4 linked regions of the Caenorhabditis elegans genome follow. The protein of the gene in region 2 interacts with the protein of the main gene of each other region in a pairwise test. Each region holds a gene or a part of one and is shown on either strand. Other genes may lie near its edges.

Evidence for each region.
Region 1: the proteins of magu-1 (region 2) and unc-11 interact in a two-hybrid assay, tested with the Caenorhabditis elegans proteins (2 studies listed by BioGRID).
Region 3: the proteins of magu-1 (region 2) and M57.1 interact in a two-hybrid assay, tested with the Caenorhabditis elegans proteins (2 studies listed by BioGRID).
Region 4: the proteins of magu-1 (region 2) and ztf-2 interact in a two-hybrid assay, tested with the Caenorhabditis elegans proteins (2 studies listed by BioGRID).

What each region holds. Positions count from the first base shown.
Region 1 is NC_003279.8:3,799,720-3,807,682, reverse strand, and holds the start of unc-11 (Phosphatidylinositol-binding clathrin assembly protein unc-11), read left to right. Parts: upstream 1-1,943; 5' UTR 1,944-1,978; coding exon 1,979-2,049; intron 2,050-2,185; coding exon 2,186-2,289; intron 2,290-2,590; coding exon 2,591-2,904; intron 2,905-3,391; coding exon 3,392-3,667; intron 3,668-4,179; coding exon 4,180-4,672; intron 4,673-5,728; coding exon 5,729-5,848; intron 5,849-6,712; coding exon 6,713-6,874; intron 6,875-7,403; coding exon 7,404-7,491; intron 7,492-7,650; coding exon 7,651-7,802; intron 7,803-7,963.
Region 2 is NC_003281.10:468,681-473,569, forward strand, and holds the start of magu-1 (MAGUK family), read right to left. Parts: upstream 3,023-4,889; 5' UTR 3,016-3,022; coding exon 2,937-3,015; intron 2,643-2,936; coding exon 2,332-2,642; intron 1,728-2,331; coding exon 1,515-1,727; intron 1,206-1,514; coding exon 1,125-1,205; intron 1,014-1,124; coding exon 827-1,013; intron 781-826; coding exon 683-780; intron 1-682. Other genes in the region: nemp-1 (Nuclear envelope integral membrane protein), read left to right, coding at 3,653-3,731, 3,779-3,933, 3,983-4,065, 4,415-4,497, 4,551-4,717, 4,779-4,889.
Region 3 is NC_003282.8:3,531,676-3,539,576, reverse strand, and holds M57.1 (SPK domain-containing protein), read right to left. Parts: upstream 5,937-7,901; 5' UTR 5,926-5,936; coding exon 5,783-5,925; intron 5,737-5,782; coding exon 5,623-5,736; intron 4,190-5,622; coding exon 3,920-4,189; intron 3,869-3,919; coding exon 3,755-3,868; intron 3,260-3,754; coding exon 2,999-3,259; intron 2,010-2,998; coding exon 1,896-2,009; intron 1,850-1,895; coding exon 1,144-1,849; intron 1,098-1,143; coding exon 885-1,097; intron 636-884; coding exon 573-635; 3' UTR 514-572; downstream 1-513. Other genes in the region: M57.2 (Geranylgeranyl transferase type-2 subunit alpha), read right to left, coding at 7,310-7,514.
Region 4 is NC_003279.8:7,289,422-7,293,480, reverse strand, and holds ztf-2 (Zinc finger protein ztf-2), read right to left. Parts: upstream 2,210-4,059; coding exon 1,804-2,209; intron 1,640-1,803; coding exon 1,310-1,639; intron 1,257-1,309; coding exon 910-1,256; 3' UTR 529-909; downstream 1-528. UniProt on the Caenorhabditis elegans protein: Transcription factor. Represses gene expression, probably via binding to DNA consensus sequence 5'-[AT][CT]TTCC[AC][AG]-3' in promoter regions. May play a role in pharynx morphogenesis.

The sequences.
Region 1 (7,963 bases), on a different chromosome or scaffold from region 2:
TCGAATGTAAAGTCAATCAAAATACTCGTTGTTTTTGCGTGTTTCCCCCTCCCCCTCTAGATGGTGCCTACACAACATCCCATTGCTAAAAAGGAATTTTTTTTTTCTGTGACCACTATTTCTCTCCGAGTTTCTCTTATTTCTTTTTTTTGCAGTTTCTAGTTGTAATTTTCCTTTGTACCCTCTTTTCCCATTTGCACTGAATAAAATGTCTGATTAATTTAAGGACTTTATCAGCTTTTTTCTCATCTTATTGCGATAGGAATTAGGAACTGTTGGGGATTCAGTTCACTTTTAGGCTTCCTGGTAAATAATATAATACGGGAACTCAAAATTCTGAGAATGCGTACTGCGCAACATATTCGAAGCGTATAATATCTCGCAGCGAAAACCACAGTAATTCTTTAAATGAGTACTGTAGCGCTTGTGTCGATTTACGGGCTCGATTTTTAAAATAATTTATTTAACGATAAAATATCAAAATTAATGTAAGAAAAAAAAGAGAAAATATCACGAAGAAACGTAGGAAAAACGAGCCCCGTAAATCGACACAAGCGCTACAGTACTCATTCAAAGAATTACTGTAGTTTTCGCTACGAGATATTTTACGCGTCAAATATGTTGCGCAATACGCATTCTCAAAATTTTGTTTTCCCGTAATATCCAAGAATGCTGAATTTTCATAACAATAAAAATAAAAACTCATTGTCAATAGATCCAGTGTTTATTTATCTGTCTAACCGTCTAAAACTCTAACTTTTCAGTTGACTCTCGCTCGATAGGTATCATTTTCATTAAAATGTTAATGTTTATAGTATTCTTTCCATACAATTTATGTGCCAACCACCTCTTCTTTTTTGCATTGAATCCCCCGATGGCGTCATCCTTCTCGTCCTCACCATTTGGTGTGTCTGTGTCTCTCCGTCCTATCCACTATCTTTCATCCAGATTCCCGGTTTTCCCGAGAAAAAGTGAGAGAGAGAAGAGGCTACTGCGCGGCGACACTGGCTGCGGACACCCTCACTCCTCTACTTGTCTCCATCGATTTTCGCTGGTTCGTCGAAGCCTCGTCGCCAACACAACTTCTTCTTCTTTTTCGTCCTCTTCTTTTCTGCCACACGCTTGCACAGCTTCTTCTTCTCATTTTACGCTGTCTACTTTTTTCGGAGGGGCCATACCCCCACACACAGCTCCTTTTATTTGGCAGTTTTGGCATTTTTGAGGAAAAGTTCTGATAAAATGTATGAAATGACGTTTATTTTTGTGCTTTCCAGTTTAATCTTTTGTTGAACTTGATCGCAACATAAATTTATGTTTCGAAATCTCTCTCTCTTTTTTGGCAAATCCCTGCGGAAATGAGAAAAATTTGAAAAAGAATTGATGATTCAGAATTGGAATTTTTATTTGTATTTATTTTTTTGAAAAAAAAAACAATTTAACTTGCACTTTTATTCTTCAGAGCCAAAAAAGAAATGGCTCAAAAATAGAAAATGATCATTTTTAATCAATAATTGTAAATACCGTACTTCATCTGAAGGCGCAAGCGGTTAATTCATTCCTTGAGTCTCACCACGAATACCGTAGTTACATTTAAAGGCGCAGGCCTCGACGAGTGTTTGTAAGCGCTTTTTTTTAACTTTCAGAGATTTTATTTTTTCGTCATTTTTTCCAAAAACAAGGAAATCAATTCAGTTTTTGATTGAATATGTTTCGAAAAAAGAAAGAACTGTCAATCACACAAATTCACATCAATTTCCACTCGAAAAACGGCACAAAACGATGTGTTTGGAAATGTTCTTTGGCACAAAAATCAATAAAATTGCCAAACTCTTTTGTGATTGTGGTTCCTGCATCTCTCCGTTTCCCCCAATTTACCTGATCACTTTCACGTTCTTCCGTAACTGCTGACGCATTGAATGCACCTGATTTTGTTTGCTTACTGCAGGTAGACCGACGCCAACCCCCCTTGCTGCTCGACATGCAGACTATCGAGAAAGCGCTGCATCAACCGATGCCTTTCACAACCGGCGGGCAGACTATTTCAGACCGGTAAGCGATTTTTCTTTTCGATTTCTTGTTTTAAGTTCGAATTTTCAAGAACAAAATTGTTCTAAATTCAAAATAAAAGTGTATGTTTTCAAAAATTTCAAAAAATCAGTGTTAAAATGTATAAAATAATTTTCAGATTGACAGCTGCAAAGCACTCTTTGGCTGGAAGCCAACTTGGCAAGACAATATGCAAGGCGACTACCGAAGAAGTTATGGCCCCGAAGAAAAAGCATTTGGATTGTTAGTTCTTGATTTTTTTAAAGCAAAAATCTGAAATTCTGCATGTCACAGCTGTGGGAAAATTGATTTTTAATTAATTATTGTCCTGGTTTGAGTTTGTCGCTTAAATTTGCTGATTTTTCACTTAATTTTGTTGATTTAGCCACATTTAGAGCTAAATTTGGTTGCAAAATAAATCAAACATTATGTAAAATTCAATTTCCAGCAGCTGCAAAGTAGGCAATTAGGAAATTTTTCGCTGAAATTAGCTCTCGAAATTAGTTTTTTTTGCCACAGGTTGAGTATACGAATATAATTCCAGACCTCCTTCACTGCACAAATGAGCCAAATGTTTCGATTCCATCAATGGCCAATCTTCTAATCGAACGGACTCAAAATCCAAATTGGACCGTCGTTTACAAGGCTCTCATCACAATTCACAACATTATGTGCTACGGAAATGAGCGATTTTCGCAATATCTAGCCTCATGTAACACGACTTTCAATTTGACCGCGTTCGTGGATAAGGTTGGAGGCGCCGGCGGATATGATATGTCTACACATGTCAGACGGTACGCAAAGTACATTGGCGAGAAGATTAATACTTATCGAATGTGTGCATTTGATTTCTGCAAGGTATGTTGGAGAATATATTCTCTAAATTCAAAAAAAAAATTAAAAGCTAAGTAAATAAAGTAAATTTGTGGCTTTAAATGGCAGAATATAGATCGAATATAACTGTAAAAATTATAATTTTGCAAAAATTGAAAAAAAAAAAACGATAATTATTTTAATTTAAAATCTTGGTATTGCTTTTATTGTCAGTGTTTCAAAAAATTTTCCTTTAAAAATGTGAAATTATCGATTTTTAGGCCTTTTGATATTTTTCTTTCTGATAATATAGTTTTTATCAATTAAATTTGTCTGAAAATTTACAAGCTGTTTTTCATATCAAATTTTTTTTAAATCATGAAAACCCAATCAGCATTGCAAAAAACGCGGGAATTCAAAAAGATTTTTTGCAAACTTGAAAAAAATCATCAAAAATGTTATAAATTTTTTAACAGTTATTTAAAGCAATTTTTTTTTGACTCTACTAATTGACGAAATATGAAATTTTCAGGTGAAACGCGGTCGTGAAGATGGGCTTTTGCGTACAATGCACACTGACAAGTTGCTCAAAACAATTCCAATTCTTCAAAATCAAATCGATGCACTTTTGGAGTTTTCAGTGACCACTTCAGAGCTGAATAATGGAGTTATCAATTGCTCATTTATTCTTCTTTTCCGTGATTTGATTCGATTATTTGCTTGTTATAATGATGGAATTATTAATGTGCTTGAAAAGTACTTTGATATGAACAAGAAGCAGTGTCGTGATGCTTTGGATACTTATAAGGTAAAAAAATACTTTTTTTTTCAATTTAAAAAAAAAAAGAGGTCTTTGAAACTTAATTTTCCAAATTTTCAGACATTTTCAGCACAACAAGTTTACATAAACTTTGAATTTTCGAATTTTATGCAGATTTTAGTTTTTTTTTTGCGGGAAAAAGTTATGAAAATTTGATAAATGATTCTTAAATTCAATTATAAAAAATATATCCTGTTTGCGCGGGAATTAAAAAATAATTCAGATTTTTCTAATGTTTTTTTTCAAAATAAAAAAAATTGAACATTTCAGAAAGTTACAAAAAACCGATTTAATCGGAAAAATCGGTTAAAAATTTTTATGATATTTTTTTCAATTTTGTAAAATAAAATCTGGCTTTTTGATTTTTTAATTTTCGGATTTTATGCAGATTTTTTTTTTTTTTTCAATTTAAGAAGCTTCGATGTCAAAAATTAAGAAGAACACAAAAATATTAAAAATTTCATTTCCCTAAAAACTAATAATTTTCAAAAATTTTGCAGTCCTTCCTCACCCGACTCGACAAAGTTGCCGAATTCCTTCGCGTCGCCGAATCCGTCGGAATCGACCGTGGAGAGATTCCAGATTTGACACGTGCTCCAGCGAGTCTTCTCGAAGCACTTGAAGCTCATCTCATCCATCTCGAAGGAGGAAAAGCTCCACCACCAACTCAACAACATGTTGCACCACATCAATTCACCACTGGATTCGCATTTTCTCAACAACCACAACCGGCACTTGGTGACGCTGAACGACAACGGTATATTGAGTTGGAACAAGAGAGATTGAGACAGTTTGAAGATCAGAAGAAATCGATTAATTCTGCAAATCCATTCGCAAATGATGTCGCTTCGGCTGCACCTGCTCCAGCTACATCAGCTGCTCAGCCGGATCTTTTGGATATGTTCCAATCATCGGCAGCTCCAGCTCCTCAAACGGCTGATGTGACGAATCCATTTGGGAACTTTGCAGCTCCAAGTGCCTTCCCAACGAATGGTACGTTGAAATTTTCCGAAATTAAAGGAATTGGCCTCAGAAAAAGATCGAATTTCATAAGGAGACTTTTCAAAAAATTTAACAAAATTTTTTATGCCATAGGAAAATTGAAAAATTGAAAAAAAAATATTTTTTAAATAAAATTATGCTGGTTAAAAAAAAAACATAATTGTCTTCTAAAAAGAATAAAAATTGCCAAAATTTTAGACTACTTTACGATAAATTTTTTTTACGGTTTTCAGGGAAAATTGAAAAATTGAAGATCGAAAAATCCAAAAAAAAATTTAGAAACTTTTTTTAATAAAATTTTGTTCAAGTTACTTTGTAAAAACCATTTCAAAAACATCTATTTTTATTCTGAAAATATGAAAAATCGCCAAAATTTAAGATTTTTTCGAAAAAGTAGAAAAAAAATCGAAATATCGAAATTTTTTTCTCTCTCATATCGAATTTTTTTTCTCTCGTTCTTTTAAAAAAATGTTTCCAGAGAAAATCGAAAAAATGTTTTTAAAATTTACAAAACAATTTGTTTTTATAAAATTTTTTATGTTGATTTAAAAAAAAACAAAAAAAATCTGAAAAATCGAAAAATTTCCGATTTTCGTTTTTTTTTCAATTTTCTTCCTAATCATGCCAACTTTCATGTGCTTCTGCGGCCGGAAATTAATTTTTATTTGATTATTTCTCCATTTCGGTTACTTTTGTCACTTATCCTACGGTTTTTCCGTTAATTTAGCCTCATTTTAAGCCGATGGCTGCTAAATTTCGTTTAATGTACCTAAATCGATGAAAAATATGCAGAATAGGCTTGAAAAATCGGGGATTTTAGCTGAAATTAAGCTATTTTGAACAGTCATGAAAATAAATAATTTTTTGAAATGTCTCGTTATGAAATTCTTTTTTTTTGTTGGTAATTTTGAATATTTTTAAAAAATCAGAAAAAAATATTTCGCCTTAAAATTTAATTGCTTCACTAACATTTAACCCTTTGTTTCCACAATCTATGTTTCTCTCAAATCTTCCTTTGTTTTTTTTTTCATTTCACCTATGTTTTAGTGCCACCACCAGCAGCACACTCGGCTCCATTTGGAGTTCAACCAGCACCGCAACATTCAGCTGCACCATTCTATGCGAACCTTCATCAAGCTCCTCCAATGCAATCGCAAGCTCCAAATGGTGAGTTGTGGCGTTGTGTGTGTGTGTGTTGATTTGCATGTGTGGTTTTTTTTGCTTGGAAAATAATAATTTTTTAACTTAATAATTGGGGAAAAAAATAAAAAATTAATCGAAAAAATTATTAAAAATGCGCTGAAATATCGGTAAAAATAAGAAAAAAAGATTTTTAAAAAATCGGGGAAAGTCGAAAATATTTCCGAAAAATTAGAAAACGAAAATTGTCGTTTTTTCTATATTTTATAAAAAAAATATTATAGGCGGAATTTTTTTGTTGAAAATTGTAAATTGACACTTTAATAAATTTTGAAAAAAAAATTTTTTTTTACATAAAATTCAATTTTCGATATTTCTATATTTACCTAGGAATTTTTCAAAAATTAAAAAAAAATATCAAAAAATCGGATAATTCATTTATTTTTCCTCTAAAATACTCCAAAAAGTTGTTAAAAACTCGAAAGTTTTAGATTTTTTCAAATTAAACATTTAAATTTTCTCTTAAAAAAACGTATACTATAATATCAAAAATTGAAATTTTACGTTTTTCAATCTTTAAAAAAATATTTCCAATGTGCCTCTGAAAACGCCAAAAAACGTTTAAAAAATTATCTTTTCGATTTAAATTTTTTAGAAAAGCGCTTTTAAAAAATTCTAAAAACCGAAATTTTCGATTTTCAACCTCTAAACAAAAATTCTCAATTTATTTTTTTCCGGGATTTTTCAATTTTGGCTTCTTCTTTTAAAATAACTTTTAAAAAGCATGTTTTGGTGGTTCTGAATATTTTCTCCTCCGTCTTGACGTCGTCATCTTCTCGTTGTACCTCTGGAAATTAGAAATATACCAAATAGAAAGTGTGGCAATTTAAGAGCCCGAAAACCCATTTATAACTGCTCCCGCGGCACCACAAATGCACAATGCGCCGCCCGTCCCACCACCACCAGCATCTCAGGGGGCTCCAGCTCCTATCAATCCTTTTGCTGATCCTTCAGCTACTGCTGCTTCTTCAGCACAACCGTTTGGGGATCCAGGTGAATTAACTCACACTTACTTACCTTTCGATTTGTTGCTAAAAATACACGGCTTTCTTTTTTTATAACAAAAGGGAATTTTTTCTGAAATATACTAAAACTGGTCCGACGCGACCAAATTTAGCATCGAGACTTCTCCAAAAATTTATAAATTTACAGAAAAAAGAGCCAAGTTTCGTTAAAATTTGAAATTTCTCAGATTTGTTTCAGTCGTAGCAGCTGGAATACATTTTTATTGAAAAATCATCTTTCATCGCATGTTTTGGGAGTTTGAACCGTCCGAAATATGCAATAGAGGGAGATTTTTCATTTAAAAATTGTATTCCAGCCGAATGAAACGATTCTGGGAAATTTTAAATTTTAACGAGAAAAGTAAATTTTTGAGAAGTTTCAGTCTATTTCCGCAAAAAAAAACTCATTAACTCTACTTCAACATTAATACAGTTTTACAGTTTTTCATAACCACCCCACATTTCAGATGACTTCAAATTTGAACAAAAAAATGTAAAAATTAAAATATTAATTCCAGGTCATCAAGCTGCTCCATTCGGATATCCAAATGCTCATCCAGATGATCTTGCTCGAATGACTGCACAAATGTCATTGAATCAGCAGGGGTAGGATTATTTTTGTCAATTTTAATGCAATTTTTGTTGCAATTTTTTTCGTGACTCACGACACGAACGAACCACTAGGGCTAGATTATACATATTACCTTTTACAAAATTTCACAATTTCTAAAGAAAATCGAAAAATCTTGCCTAAAAATATCTTAGTTACAGAGCACCGGCCGGCTGGAATACCACAACTTCTGCCGTCTCAAACAATCCGTTTGGAGCAACGTCGGCTCCTCAGCCAATGTATACGGCTCCAATGGGAATGTATCAACAACCATTTGGTGCTCAGCCAATGTGGAATCCTGCGATGGGTTAGTTTATCGAAAAAACGAGGAATTTTTTTAAAATTAGAATCTCGGAACAATTGAATTTTTATCTAATTTTTCACAATATTTCAAGATTATTTTAAATGTGAAAATCGATTTTGAAGCATTTTTTGTTAATTTTTGCTTCATTTTCGAAATATGCTCAT
Region 2 (4,889 bases):
TGAAAAAAAACTACACTTTTTAAAGAAAATTCTGAAAAAAAGTGCAAAAGTGGAATTTTCTGGATTTCCAAAATTCCAATTATCTGGATAAAAACCACGTGTAATTGGTTTTTTTTTAAATGAAAAAATTTCTCTTTTTTTTACCTAAAAAGTAACGAAAAATCCATTTTTCTGTTCAAAAACTCGCAAAAAATTGATTTTTTACTTAAATTTCACTGAAAATTCCCATTTTTAACCTAAAAAATCCCAAAAAAATCGATTTTTCGCGCTAAAAACCCCACAATTTTCAGTCGTGAACGTTAAAAATCGCCATTTTAGCTAAATTTCCACTGAAAATTCTCTTATTTTTTACCTAAAAATTAACGAAAAATCCATTTTTATGTTCAAAAACTCGCAAAAAATAGATTTTTTACTCAAATTCCACTTTTTTTTTCGATTTTTTGAATTTTTAAGGATCCGATTGGACTTTAGTGTTGCCAATATTTTATAGCGTTTAAATTGAAAAAAAAACTACGCTTTTTAAAGAAAATTCTGAAAAAAAGTGCAAAAGTGGAATTTTCTGGATCTCCAAAATTCCAATTATCTGGATAAAAACCACGTGGAATTAGATTTTTTTAAAATTAAATTTTCTCATTTTTCTGAAGTCATAAGTCACTTTTAAACCCTTTTTCCAAAATTATACCTCTAAAAATGACTGAAAATCATCTGAAGTATCTATTCCATTTTCTGGAATTTCCGATTGACACTGTAGCCATTCCGACGGTACGAGACCCACTTTTTCTGAAAAAATCATTATTTTTGGAATTTCAGAGCGCAATTTTCTCACTGGAATCATCTCGATTCTCGTCATCATGACTCTCTTTCCGCCTCGCCAGTGCTCCGAATCCGATTTTTCGAGTTTGCCACCAATATTGGTCCTTTTCGTCGAGGATCTCTAGAATATCACCGCCGCGGAAGGAAATTGCAGCTTCTGGGCAGGGATGACGTTTGTCCTGCCATGGATCGTAGTCGAACTGAAAACTAGGAAGAATTCTAGGCTATTTTTACGGAATTTCTACTTGGAAATTGAAAAATTTGCGAATTTTGGACTAAAATTCTGAGAAAAACTAGAAAAAACCACTTACCAAAGCTCGGGCATACCGATGTGACGACTTTTTCTGCTTTAACTTCTGGTTTATTTCTGCAGGGATCAGCTTGAAGGTTATCTGAAAAATAATATTGGAAATTTGAGAAAAAACGTGTATTTTTATAGATTTTCTTAAAAACTTTTTTAGTTCAGGCTAAAAGTTACAAATTACTGAGAAAATGCAAATTTTTTCTGATATTTCAGGTTTTTTTTTTAAATTATAATAAATCCATCTTCAATGTTTTTTAACAAATACAGAATTTTTTAGCAATTTTCAGGTATACAAGACGATACGAATATGTGATTTTTTACAAATTTTCTCTGATTTTCGTGATAAACTGCTAGGAAATTGTTGTTTTTTCGAATTTTTTAAAACAAAATCACTAACAATTCCATTATCACATTTATCCAGCAGCTTCACGATTTCCCTGGGCTCCTTATCCGCTACAGTAATCCCATTGACCTCCAATACTCGATCGCCTTCCTGAATACATCCACTACGGTCTGCCACACCGTTCGCCATTATTCGTGCCACGTATACTTTGCCACGTTCGCATTTTATTGTTGCACCGAGGGGTTCGCCACGTCGCACTATTCGCACCTGGAAAATTGAAACAAAAAATTAGAAAAATGAAATGGAATATAAAATTTTTGGGTCTGTTAAATATTTAGCAGACCAAAGTTGGGTATGCTAAATATTTAGCAGACCCAAACCAATATTTAGCAGACCAAAGTTGGGTATGCTAAATATTTAGCAGACCAATGCCAATATTTAGCAGACCCAAGTTAGGTATGCTAAATATTTAGCAGACCCAAGTTGGGTATGCTAAATATTTAGCAGACCAAAGTTGGGTCTGCTAAATATTTAGCAGACCATTGCCAATATTTAGCAGACCCAAGTTAGGTATGCTAAATATTTAGCAGACCAATGCCCATATTTAGCAGACCCAAGTTAGGTATGCTAAATATTTAGCAGACCAAAGTTGGGTCTGCTAAATATTTAGCAGACCAAAGTTGGGTCTGCTAAATATTTAGCAGACCAAAGTTGGGTGTGCTAAATATTTAGCAGACCCAAGCCAATTTTAGCAGACCAATAGAATTTTATAAAAGTGGAAATTTGAAAAAATTGTCAATTTTACTAGCCAATTTTTCCAAAATTTTGAAAATTTCAATAGAATTTCCGAACAAAAACCGTCGATCCTCACAATTTTCACAGCGACCCCATCATCCTCGTCAACTTCGAACGGAACGTCTGGAAGCTGCGGAGCAAACCGCCCGGCTGAAATTTCCTGCGCCGCCCATAATACTCCCTGTACACGTGGCAAATTTAGGAGCTCAACGAGTTGCTGAACCGACGAAGATTTGATATTTGAAATGTCCCAGTCGTCGAGAACGTTCTGTGATAGTTCTTGAAATGAGATCTCTTGTTTCTGGTCGTTTGTTGAGAAATTCCGCAGAATTGATACGGCTTTTTGTTGCTTTTTCGTTAAACTTGTTCGTGGAGGCCTTTCGTCGTCTGGAATTTCAGTAAATTGGTGTTTATTGCCACTTTTTTTTTCAAAAGTAGCTAAAATTTGCTTAAAAACCATAAAAAACTTGATTTTTTTAAGATTAAAAATGTTTAAACTAGCTTATTTATCTACTTAAAATTCTAAAAACCGTATTTTCAAAAAAAAAGTTATATTTGGGTCTGCGAAATATTTAGCAGACCAAAATTCCTTTAATTTTCGCCGAAATTGTATTATTCTTCCGCCAAGAATCTCTTTTATCTGCTCAATGTCTTGCAATTTCTCGATTTTCAAACACGTACTCTCATTAGATGTCCCCGCTGCTACTTCCTCTGCATAATCCAGTATTGTTCCAAATATTGCCGATAAATTGTCGGGCATTTGAGATCTGGAATTCGGTTTTTTCTTCAAATTTCTTCAAATTTCAGCACTAATTCGTAAAAATACACGAAATTTCTGTCAAAAAATCAATTGAAAGCGAAAAAATGAGCACTTTAGTGTAAAACAAAGGGGGAACCTTTTAATTTAGAGGGGCTCGGTTAAACAAGGCGTGCGGCGGAGTGTCGTTGCAAGGAAATTTGAATTTAAATTTTATTTTTTCAGGTTTGATAAAACGTATTTAAATTAAAATTTATGACATTTTTTTATTGTAATCGTTAATTTTTCGAGTTTAAATCAATTTTTGGCGAAGTTTAGTTCATAAATATCGACTTTCCTTCGATATTTCACAATTTTTTCGATTTTCTTCGAATTTTTCAATCATTCTTTTCTGATTTTGGAATCGAATTCCAGAAATTTTCGAAAATTAACTAAAAATTGATAACAAAACAAAATAACTGAAAGTTGTCCACGAGGAGTCCACAGAATACTTTCGTGGCGGGACCCGGCAGCGCGAAAACCTAGATTTCGAATTTTCATGTGAATTTTCACGTTTTTTCTCTGAATTTCGGTTGAATTTCTCCCCATCTTCTAATTTTCCAACAAATATTTCTGAATTTTCAGCAAAAATTCGGCGCAGATGCGCTTACTGACCCTCGCACTACTCGTCGCGGGTAGCTTGGCCTATAAATTCGAGGATTGTGAGCAAAAACCGGCAGGTAAGACTTTTTTAAAGTTTCAAAATTAAAAAAAAAATAATTTTCAGCTCTAAACCAGGTCCTTCGTGTCGGCGCCAAGCTTTACTCGTACAATCTCGACTTTTTCTATCAGAAAGCACTACCTTACAACGCGATATACGCGTTTACCGATGTTTTTTTGCAGACTAATCTGACAAATGCGGATCAATATCAGTTTTATCAGGTAGGTTCTCGGGAAATGCTTGCGAAAATATAAAATGGAGTTGTTTCAGGGTACAAACTGCACAACTGTTCAACAGCTTTACGATAATGACAATCGTTATTTCGGAATTTTACGGAAAGCCGCACTTTTGAGGTTTGGACCGCGAAAAAGACACAGATTTTATGATAAATCAGCAAAAATTTGTTGGATTTCGCTGATAAATAGAAATGTGCAACAGAGAAACGTGGAAATTTTGGTCTGCTAAATATTTAGCACACCAAAGTTGGGTATGCTAAATATTTAGCAGACCCAAAGTTAGAAGAAAGCCAATAATTCCGAATTTTCCGTCTAATTTTAATTAAAATTCGATTAAACTTTTGCGTTTCTGCTAGGATTTTAGTAAATTCATCGAAGATTTTGCAGAAAGTCACGGATTTTCGGGTATCCCAACTCTAGCTGTAAAATATTCTGAAAAATCCAACAATTAAACTAAATTTTGCAGATCTCATCAGTTAAATCCGTTCAATGACACAATCGTCGGCGTCTCCACAACTGAACCATACGAAATATCGGTTTTAATTTGGAGTTAGTATTAAATTGAATTTATTTTTAAAAAATCGTTAAACAAATTCTTCCAGAAGTCAACTATTTCCGTGTTGGTGTCTACGTCGGAGCAATCGTGCTATTTTTGCTCGCCAGCAAGCTCGTTAGAAATGTCGTCTTCTACTACACCAGTGGATGTTCTTTCGGATTGCTCGCTTCACTGCTCTTGGTGGCATTTATTGTGTGGCGTGTTGCGCCGAAGGTATGGGAAATTAGGTTCTGCTAAATATTGGCAAATTCATCAAAAAACTCCAAATTTTCAGAAAACAATTGGAGTTCCGATCCTCATTGGTGGCTGGTCAGTCTCCCTTTACATGCTTCACTTCGCCTGGTCAAATCTTCAAAGCATCATGATTGAATATCAAAAATACGTG
Region 3 (7,901 bases), on a different chromosome or scaffold from region 2:
AAAAAAAAAGAAAAAATTCTGAGGTTATGGGCTTTTTTGGGTATTAATAAAGGAACCCTGTCGTAACCGAATCGATGAACATTCTGAATTTCCCGCATATCATCCGTAGAGCGTCTTTGCACGTTCTGTCTGTACTCTCTTCTTTCTTTGCACTATCTCATTCTGCACCGTTTTGTGACCTGGACTCAAAAACAATATTATCGAAAAAATACGATCGCACAAATTTCTCATAATTAATTTTTGATCTACCTGTTTGCCCCAATCTTGTGTGCCCCAATCTTGGTGTCGTTGTTATTTTGTTGTGGCTGTTTTAGTCGAAGGGAGTCTAGTCAACAAGGTAGATCAAAAATAAATTATGAGAAAATTGTGAGATCGTGTTTTTCGATAATATATTACTAAATACATGTAAAATAAGTGTAGCTACACTTATTTTAAGAATGAATGATACGAATACTTTCTAGTTTCTAGAAGATTAAATTATTGATTTTTTGTGCAAGATAGAAGTTCGTGAAGTAGAGCAAGATTATTCATGTAAAAAATAAATAAGATATTTATGAAAAGTTTCAAGTTAATTAGCTGGAAACCGCAAAGAGAATGTTCCGAATACCTTGCTGAACATCGGCGACTAGGATAATCTGAAAATAAATTAGGGTTTATTTGACTAACGTAGGGCTTCCACGGTTTTAGAGCCTGATTCCTGCCCCTCGGTCTTTTGCCTTTTTTTTGTATTTTGACGTGAATTTACAAAAGTTTAATTTTCTTTTATCAATTTTATCAATTCGATATAATCAAAAGTATAAGGCGCGGGTTGAGACGAAGGTGAGGCAGGCAGGCGTTTAACGCCTACATGAAAGCCCTAGACCAACATGTTCAATGAAACATACCTTTTCTCCTATAACGTGACTCTCAATTTCTTCCGCAACCCTCTGTTGTATCTCCCAAAGCAAAGGGCTTCTGAGCCAAAGCAATGAATATTTGAAGATTCTCAGACACTCGTGTGATGATTTGTTTTCTGCTGACGCTGCGGATCGAGACTTGCGAGTGATTCCCAATAAGAACGTCTGCAAGGCAGTGATCACTAGCTCTGGTGGAAGAATCTGAAAAAAGTCCTGAATTTATTTCAACATTTGAAGTTCTAGCTACCTCATCATTTATTCGAACACGAATCCCTTCAATATCGTTTAACAAATCATCTAGAGTATCTGATTCGAGAGAAGTAAGAATGAGTTCTAACGAATTCAAGAATTTATGAAGCTTGATCTCGCCAGAATCAGTAATTACAGCTCCTTGCACACTTGATCCTATGTTCAAATAGGCAAGCTTGGTGTCTGGCTCAATACGGCGAATTTCTTGAATTGGAACATCTTCAATTTCTGAAGGAAAGTGTTGATTTTGAATGAAGATATCCTCGAATACAGGCTCCTGCTTTGGCTCGTCGTTAGACCACTCCTGTGCATTCGATGATGGACCGTTCGTCGTTAGATTACTCATTGCATTAAATGGATTTAATTGGGTATCTTGATCTTCATTGGGAGCCTCATCGTATGGCGCTACTTCTTCCACCTCAGCCGTGTCAGACAACTCTTTCTCCCCGATTTTGCGTCTCTTTTGGTACATTTCGTAGTAACTGTCCGACTTTCTTTTCCATTTCGCAACCAAACTCGTCTCATCCGTGACAGACCGAATGATTTTGCGTCTTTTTTGGTGCATTTTGTGGTAATTTGTAGATTTCCGCTTCTTCTTCTCAACCAATCTCGTCTCTCCTCCCAGTTCAATCTCTCCATCATTTGAAGTATATTTGACAATTAGCTGGTTTTTATCTAGTTGGACTTTGCCAGATGCTTCAATTCTGAAAACTCATTCAAGTGCATGGAATATGGAAATTCAACACTTACTGAGCAAGAAAATCAGATTCAACTTTGCCTTTCATTGCAAACATCATTCGGGTGCGCTCTTCGATTCTGTATTTGCTCCATTTACTCATATTTGGTGCCAGCTTTTTGTGAAATCTAGGATTTTCAAATTGTTTGAAATTGTCAAAAAAGAAATTATTTGCAACTTGGTGTAGTCAAAATGTTTTTCTTGTTTTATTATATTTAAAATTGAGTGAAAACACCGAATTTCATAATGAAACTTCTTGAAAACTTCTCAAAAAAATTAAGTGGCCACAAAAAAGTAACCTTCTACTTTTGGGTATTTAACTTTATTTTCTCGCGTTTTCAAATTGATTTAGGTATATTTAAAATTAATGAACCACCAGAAGTTACCAAATTTTATCACATCTGGCGATTCATCGACCCATCGAAATCAAGTTGGTCTAATTCAAATTTTTAACTAATTTTAGGTCATTTTTGAGACGCCATATTTTTTTGTTTGAGAAGTTTTCAAAAAGTTTCTCTATGAAATTCGGTGTTTTCAGACAATTTCAAGTCTAATCAAGCAATAAAAAAAATTTGCCTACACCACCTTTGATAACATTTCAAAAGTTTCAAAAAACTTGTTTCTTAAGTTGATAATATAGTTTCATTTGTTCGAAAAAATGAAAAACATATACAAAAATGGATATATATATATATATAAGTTTCAGCTTATAATTCTTTAGAAAACCATTGAAGTGAGCTACTGAATTTGAAGCTAAAGATTTGTACTTTTTTAAACAACTCACAAGTTGGAGTTTTAAAGAGGCTGGAATTTCAAAAGAAATACCGTATATTCTCTATTAGTGCTGCATGTATCACTAATTTCCAGGCCCTTTTTGAATGCAGCACTATTAGAGACTGCAGTACTGCTGGAGATGCAGCGCTAATAGAGAATATACGGCATTTGGAATCAAGGAATTTTTCACACAACTTGCTCTGCCAAACCTGCTGAAAGTTTCGGAGGGATCACAAATAACACTTTTTAATAGAACTAGTACTATGGTTTATGGAAGTCCGTTAATGAATATAAAGTCTTTCCTTGTTAGCATGTTTTTAATTCAAAAGACAGTACTTCTAACCTGCTACCATATCCATTTTCTGTAAACTTGCGACCTTCTTGGCGCTTGAATGCCTTCAATACTAAGGGCACCTTCATTGGTTCAACTGCATCTTTAGTCGTTTCGATAAGAAACTCCATGAATCTCGTGTATTCGGGACCTGTAGCTGGTTTTGACATAATATGACGACGAATCCCTTCCAATTTGAAATTTCCGTCGTTGGAGACATATTTTGTGATTCTTCTCTTATCATCCAATTGGACAGTTCCATGGGTTTCAATTCTGCAAAATAGTGTTTTTTGAAGTTTAAGGGGCTATTGTTACTTTATTAAACTCGAAATTGTCTGAAAACATCAAATTTCCACAATGAAACTTCCCAAAAAAATTTGGCGGCTCAAAAAATGACCTAAAATTAGTTAAAATGTGAAATTTGACAGACTTGTCAAGCGGCTGGAAACTTTTGGGTATACTAGTTAATTATTGAGCTTTTTCAAAAAGGCACGTGGTGTCAATTTAAGCCATTTTTGAGCCACCGTGACTTTTTAAAAGATGTTTGAAGAAGTTTCATTATGAAATTTTGTGTGTTTGAGACAATTTTGAATATAATAAGGCAATAGAAAATGTTTGACTACACCACTTTTAACAAAAAAGTGGTCAAATATATCGAAAATCCATGATTTATCGATTTTGTTTTAAAATTTGTAAAACCCGTTTTTTTTTTAATTTTTGATGTGCACAAAAAATCATGCACTGTTTAAAAAATCTTTTAAAACCTACGTCCTCAGAAAATCGTCTTCGATCTCACCACCAAACGCAAAGAATAATCGAACCCGGTCTTCAATACTGTAGTCACTATATTTATTCATATTTGGTGCCAAACTATAGCGAAATCTAAAATAAAATGATTTAAATACAAAAACTATATTGGTATGCCTATCTCACTTCCTATTATACATTTTGTCAGGATGTTTATGCCTCGGACCGGGCTCAAGTCGGCTAAATTCTTGAAAAATTCTTTTTGTCACCAGCAATGGTTCAATGACATCTCTAGTTTTTTCGATAAGGAAGTCCAAGAGCCTGACGAATTCGAGTCCTGTAGTGTCTATTGATAAACGTTCACGATCATCTTCCAAGGAAAATGTTCCGTCATTCGAGATGAATTTTGAGATTCTATGTTTTTCATTGAGCTCAACAGTTCCATGAGCTTGAATTCTGTAATTTATTTCAGATTTTATATCGAAAAGGTAAAAAATTCAACTTTTTTTTTCTAAATTTTATATGATTTTTTTGAAAATTGGAAAATTCTCAATTTGCCTATATTTCGATGTTTGATGGAACGCGCTTGCATTATTTTCATTTTTATTGATAGATTATTCTTTTTTTTTGCCTGATTTCTTGTGGTTTCAGGCTGTCCTATCGCACACTAAAGGCGGGAAAATATTATTTGAAGATGCGCATTTCGAGTAATTATTTTTTAATTTGAGCGCAAATTTTCGTGACATTTTTTATAATTTTTCAAATAAATTTAAAGTTATTTGAAAAATCGCTCTAAAAAACATTCGAAATGCGCTGTAACGGACGTCACAAATTTTCAAAAAATATTTTCCCGCCTTTCATCACGGAATTCTGGCTTCCCTCATAAATCGAAATGGCAGAAGTTGCCGAACTAGGCCATTTTGGGTCGGAGAGATTTTGTGTAGATTTACGGCGCGTTGCGTGTCGCGTCGCGTCGCGGCTCGTTTTAGTTGTAAAACTAAAGTTTGTTGTCCGCGTGGAGTACACGACTTTTCCACGCGTTGTCCGTCAGGCGATTGTCAATGGAGCGCGAAAATTCAATGAGAAAGGCCAGAACCCCGTGTTTCATGTACTGTGGAGCAATGGGACAACCTGACACCTCGTGTAATTTTTCATGTTTATTGTGTAATTTTACTGCTAATTTAGTAGAAAATTCAAGATAAACGTAAATTATTTTATAAGCGTCGGAATAAGAGCGACGTCAATCCTGAAAAAAAATTGATTTCACAGATTTGCTTGCATACTTTCTAATAAAAAATTTACATTTATCTTGAATTTCTCACTAAAATTTCCAGTAATATTACACAAAAAAAACCTGAAAAATCAATAAAAAATCACGTGGTGTCAGAATGTCCCATGTTGGGCTGATCTCCGAGAATTGCAGGAATTTAGACACATACTTCTAAATTGGTTTCGCATAGTTTAAAATTGTATTTTCTGTAGAACAAATTCCCGCATTTTTTGTAGATCAAGCTGCGATAGGAGTTTTGGCGGTAATTCAGAATTCGATGCAAATTGAAAAGTACCGTATATTCTCTATTAGTGCGGCACCCCACCACTCAACTTTGACAGCTCATATCTCGGTCACCTTTGATTTTGGTAAAAAGTCTTTAACTACGGAAATGTTTGTTAAAACTCCTTCTATGCTTAATGTTTTAAAAGGTCTTAATATCTTCAAAATCAATCAAGACATATGACGTCAAAGGTGAGCGATGGGGGTGCCGCACTAATAGAGAATATACGGTATCCGAATTTTAAAAAATTATATAAAATTTGGAAAAAAATAGTTTTTTACGATAATATTTGGTCACACTCTCCTCATTTTTCTCACCACCATTACTATTCCCCACCTTGTCAAAAAATCATCTTCAACTTTTCCACGTAATGCATACATCAATCGAATTCGTTCCTCAATACTGTACTTATTAAATTCGTTCATTTTCGGTGCAAAATGTGAGCAAAATCTAAACAAAAAAGTTGATGACAAAAGCCAAGTCCAGGTCTGTTTACCTTGGGTAACGCTTATCTTCCGGGATCAAACGACGATTGGGAAATTTTTTGAATACTTTTTTTGCCACCAATGGATAGATGGAATCCTTTGTCTGTTCCACTAGGAAATCCATGAATTCCGTGAGCTCGTCATTAGTGTACATCTTTTGTGATACTTAAACAAAGTACAATATTGAAAAGCAGTATGGCATTTTGATACTTGTGTAGTATACCTTTCCCGTAAATTTTAACCACTTCGAAAAAAAAAAATATATGTGACCCCTTTTTATTGCTTTATAACTTTTGAAATTGTCTGATAACACCGAATTTCATAATGAAATTTCTTTAGAAAAAATGTAGCGGCTTAAAAAATTACCTAAAATTTGTTAGTTTATAATCTGGAAACTAACTTTTTTGAAAAATCTTTTAATGGAAAACGTACTGGAAATATTTTTGGGTCATGAGGCATACTACTCAACTACCAAAACTTTGATCGTTTTTGTAAAAAAAAATCCTGAGTTAATGGGGTTTTCTTCGCGTTTTAAAATTTAATTAATAAAAGAACAGTGTCGTAACCAAATCGATGAACATTCTGAATTTCCCGCATATCATCCGTAGAGCGACTTTGCACGTTCTGTCTGTACTCTCTTCTTTCTTTGCACTCTCTCATTGTGTGAAGAAAAAAAATTGTTAATTTTGTGGGCGTGGCCTATTTCTGTGGAACTCTGTTCAAACTTTTAGAATCAGAAGATCCGAATTTTGTGTAATTTTTCAGAATTTTTTTGGAAAATGTATATTTTGTGGACGTGGCCTATTTCTATGCGCCTTTAAAGTCGCTATTTAAAACTAGAAAAATGGAGAAAATCAAGTTTTTAAAAATTTTTGAGAAGAAACGAAAATTGCCCATTTTGTGGGCATGGCCTATTTCTGTGCGCCTTTAAAGCCGTTTGAAAATTTGAAATTAGAAAAACCGAATTTTTGAGTCTTACAGATTTTTTTCGAAACATTTCCATGGGCGTGGCCTGCGAAGCTCCGCCCACGTTTCTGATTATTTTTGTGGATAGTGATTTTCGGGGATCTGAAAACCTGAAAATACGCATTTTTTCAGCGGGGACTGGAAAATGTGAAAATTTCGAAATTGGAAAATCACTTGCGGGGAACCAGAAACGCGAAATGTTAAGCGATTTCCATGATTTTTGTGGAAAAAGCACGAAAATTAAGCAAAATTCGCCATTTTTTGCAAAAGGGAGAGTTTACCAAAAGAAAATACTGAAATTTATATAGAAAAAATCAAAAATCGATAATGTATCATACATACATGTTGTGTATTGAGCGAGAGACAAGGAGAGAAGTAGTTTATTACAAGAAGTGTAAGAAGTAAATGAATTATAAAGAGAGGTCGCTTACGCGATAAGTTCATGATGACCCAAAGGTCACGTCTGTATAAAGTTCAGGTTTACGTTCCGTCCACAACAATACATAAGAAGAACAGGTAATAATTAAGAAATATCACAAAAAAAAAGGTGAAAAAAATTCCGAAAAATGTCTTCACAACCAGTGCGGAATGAGACGAACTCCAGGGAGCTGAGCACGAAGTTCTTCGGTTTTTTCAACGAGCGGAGTTTCACAGAAGACAAGACGATCCAGAGAGGGAATTGTCTGGAAGAAGGGCATCACGGCGGAGACAGAGGCGATTTGAGTGCCGGCAATTGAGAAGAATGTCAGATGGGATAGGCATGGGCTCGGTGGGAGGCTGGAAATTTGAAATTTATGGGATTTTTCAGAAAAATTTTGATTTTTGGGGGAAACCCGATTTTAATGCTGAAAAAAATTGATTTCTCCACAAAACTATCGATTTTCTATTACAATACCTGGGTTTCAAATATTGATTTTTTTTTTGGCAAATTGCCGTTTTTTCCCCAGAAAAAAGGTCATATTGGTATCGATTTTTTTCAGCAGATTAGTAATTTTTTTGTAAAAAAAGATAGATTTTCCCTGGCGGAAATATCGATTTTTCTTCAAAATTATAGTTGATTTTTTCGATTTTTAATGAATTATGGATTTTCGGCTGATTTTTTAATTTTTTTTTCCAAAATTATCGATTTTCCCAGCGGAAATATCGATTTTTTACAAAAGTATC
Region 4 (4,059 bases), on a different chromosome or scaffold from region 2:
ATGTGTTTGAAATGCTTTGATCGACGGGTAGAAAAACATTCAGTTTTATAAATTAGATAAAATAAGAAATTAGACGAACCAAGGAAAATCGGACGTGACAGGAACAAAGAAGGTATGTAGGCAGGCCAGATAAGAAGCAAGTTAGTGAACTGGCAGTAATGAGGTAGGAAAAATAAGCGTTTCCCAGGTCTGGTGTAGGCAGATTTTGAAATGTAAGAATTATTGTTTTCAAAATTATTTATCGAGATTTTTTGTTGTAAATCACAAATACATGTTTTGGTGTCACCAGAACGCTGCCGCTGCTGTTTTAGACCACAATAGGTGGGAGAAAGGTGGCAAACGCGACTGAATTTCGAGTATTTGTTGAATAATTGTGATATTTTTACAAAAGGTGGGGAGCAGGTGGCAAAAAGGTGGGCGGAAGGTGAGAAGACCTCAAAAGGTGGGAGAAAGGAGGCACTAAATGCCGAGCAAATACAAATCAATAATATCGCTTAAAATATGAGTTTATGCAGTGGTGATAATACTTTTTTAAACAAGCGTATATTTCCAAATATTCGTAACGATATAAATAAGAACAATCCCGAAAAAAAGAGAAATCGGTGAAAAATGTGATAGAGAAATATGGAGGGATGTGTGATAGAAACATGACTCGTATAGTAGAAACAGATAAGGAAAATAAAATTAGCAAAGAAAATATGAATTCACCAGGAAGCTGAGAGTTGAGACGAGATTCGTATGTGAGTAGATACCTAAGATTTGGGGTTTTTTTGGGGTTTGTGTGCGTGATTGGCTAAGTAGAACAGAAAATATATTGGTTCGAGTATATGAACCTGAGATATTCAAGTAAAGAAGTGATAAATTGTTTTAATTATAAATTTTGAGATTATGGATTCAAGATCTTAAGAATTACATCTCAACGTCAACCATCTCATCTTGTTGAGAAGGTGTAAGTATCGTAGTTGGGATGATTTGTGGAAAAGATGTTGGAATAGTTGGACTATTCAACAAGGAAGATTGTAGGAGAGATGCCAAGTATAATGACATTAATGGATTTGGCTGAAGGCTCAGCAGAGCTGATTGAATGTCTGGAAGGAAAGATGGAGTGACTGGAAGTGTTGGTGACAACAGAAGAGGTGATGATCCAAGTTGAGGAGTTGGTAGGGATGATGTAATAATCGATGCTTCTTCTTCAGGATCTGTCTGAATTCCGCTGTCTGATGAGGATTCGCTTCTGCACGGGGATAATGGAGATGCTGAAAAAAGGAATTTAAATCATGAAATTAAACTATTTAAAATTATGGTTTACCTTTCTCATAAGTTGGCATAACGTTGTAAATCATATCAACATGGGAGCATGGACCATTGGAATGAGCAAGTGCTCCTTGGACATCTTCAAATTTAGCGCCACATCGACAAACACATGGGGAGGTGTTGTGAAGATGGCTTACATGACTGTTCAATACAGATACTCTTTCATCTTCAAATGAGCACAATTGGCAACGATAGAACACTGTTCTCTTTTCAGAAATTATGCATCGATCAGAGTCTGAAGAACACGAAGAATCCATTGAACTGTTGGTGGCATCGAAGACTTTCGAACGGCTGTATTTGGAGACAACACGGATTCCATGAGTTTCTGAAATTATTGAGGTTGGAGAATACATTTTCAGGTATAGCAGAAGCTAATTGATTACATTTCAAAAATTGTTCTAAGCTGCCAAACTTCAAATCTGACAGAATTACAAAAGGTTTAAAGCGAATTCAAATACCTAAAGTAATAGAAAAGTAATATGAACTCACTTGCAACATGTCGAATAAGGTCAGCCTTCCACTTGCTGGTTCTGGAGCAATAACGACACTTGAATGGTCTTTCACTGGTATGAACTCTCTTATGACGAATCATCTCAGACACCCATTTTCCTTGGTAACCACAGGTAGAGCAGGTGCGTGTAGATACATCAGGATCCAATTCCATTTTTTTCATTTCAATCTCATCATCTGGTCCTTCAATTGCTTCTTGTTCACTTAGATATCTCTTTTCAAATGGTTGATCGTCGGCTTTGCGAGCAACAAGAGCATCAAGAGTGTTTGATGGATTGGCTACTTCACCACGTCGTCTTTTACGACGATGTTCTTTTTCAGGTGAGGAAAGAGTTGAGAGTAGAGTGGATACGTCAAGGGCAGTGAGCAACGATTCACAATTCATCTTAAATTTACGAAATTTAAAGAATGCAATTAAAAAGTGGAAATGTTATAGTAAGTTTAGAAATGTTATTTTTTCAGTTGTTAAGTTTGCAGATTCTAATATTGAACCGAGATCAAAAATAAGAAAGAGTAGACCACGAATGAGAAAAAGTAATGAAAAGAAGGTGTGGGAAAATTTGGAGAAAGAAAAAGTATCAATGTACTTGGAACTGGAGGAACATTCTGATATCTATTTTGTCTAGAAAGACGAGAGAATTGGAGATAAGAAGTGGAAAAAGTGAAAGTTGCTCCAAGATAAGGGAAGGGTCACCAGGAAGCAAGCGCCGATTCGGGAAGGAATGGATATGGCAAAATGCGGATGGGGCGCGCGGTACCTTTTCGCTCCTACCACAGTATGTTGACACAAGTTTTGTTGGGGGAAAAAGAGGAGGAGGCCGAAGGGTGGGAGGTCGTCGCATCAGCGAACTGTTCACTTCCGGGGCTGACTGACTTTCACAGCAACAGCAGTAGGAGGAAGAGGATACGTTTACTTTTTACAAAATATCAGCAACACACAACTCTTTCTTGCGCTCGGCCACAAGGTTTTGGTTGGACAAACAGTTCGGTCAGTGAACTCGTTTTGAGCCAAAGCGTACGTGAAGTTGGAGCATGACGTGGCCATATTGAGATCGGATGACCGTTGATGGGAGGAGAAAGAGTTTTGGGAAAGTTATTTGGTATTGGCTCACCTGCTCCCAGTTAGGCATAGTGCTGCAGAGGTACAGGCGCAAAGGCTACTGTAGGTGGATATAGGGGACGGCTAGAAAAATAGAAAAGGGACCGTGGAGATTTTCAAACCCAACTAGAGTATTCCGAGATATCTAGTGCTTACTGTAAGTGAATGCAAAAAAGAAGAGTATGATGTGTATTATGAAGGTTAATTATTGAGAGCGATCATCTTTCGAAAAAAAGTGCACTTTCCGAGCATGAAATTGCCAACTCGGATTTCTAGAGAATTTTTGAAATCCAGGGCAACAAGAACCATTCCAGAAAAGAACGTATTTGAAAAGACTGCAATAGTAATTCTAGACGTCTTGTGGGCTTTTACCAGGCACAGGTAAGTTAGCCCTAAAATGAATATGAACTTACAAAAGTAGCTAGGTGCTTTTTTCTTTTCAAATAAGTGTAAAAACTACGGTAGGCAGTTACTCAAAATATGACGTAGAGTTTAACATAAACCTTACAAATATCAACTCGGGTTTCTAGAGTACTTCAAGTATTTTTGAAATCTAGGGTAACTAGAACCAAAACATATTTGAACATAATTTCAAAGATGACCTTCTTCAACGTCTTCAATGCCTTCTTGTTCCTAATCGTCATCGTCTTCTTCTCTTTTTCAATTCAGGCACATGTTTGCTCAAGCACAGTTTGCGTAACCACCACCATCGCCGCGGCGTCTCCTGCAGCCATTCGGTTTTTTCTCGCGCCCTCAACTTCTTCGAGGAAATCCAAATAGGAACAACCTGGTACAGAATGGTCGGAAAGGACCTCAAGGCGGCCCCGCACAGTTCAAACACATGACAAGCAGTTTTTAGGAGTAAAATGGAGGAAGTAAAGGTAATAGAAGAAGCATCGGTTATAGTAACCTAGATAAAGTAAAAGTGCATTTGTGCTCATTCGCTAGTTTCTGCCAAAAAGAGCAGCACTGTCAGCTCCTCGGTTCCAGGAGGTACCAGTTGAAGCTCTTATCACTTACACTTTTGCGCCGAAAACGTGTGGGCTGGAGGAATCACTTGCTGCTGAGTGTGCAAGTTTCACGAATGGCAACAAAAGGGCAATTGATGCAAATACTTTTTTTTTCCAGATTTTCAG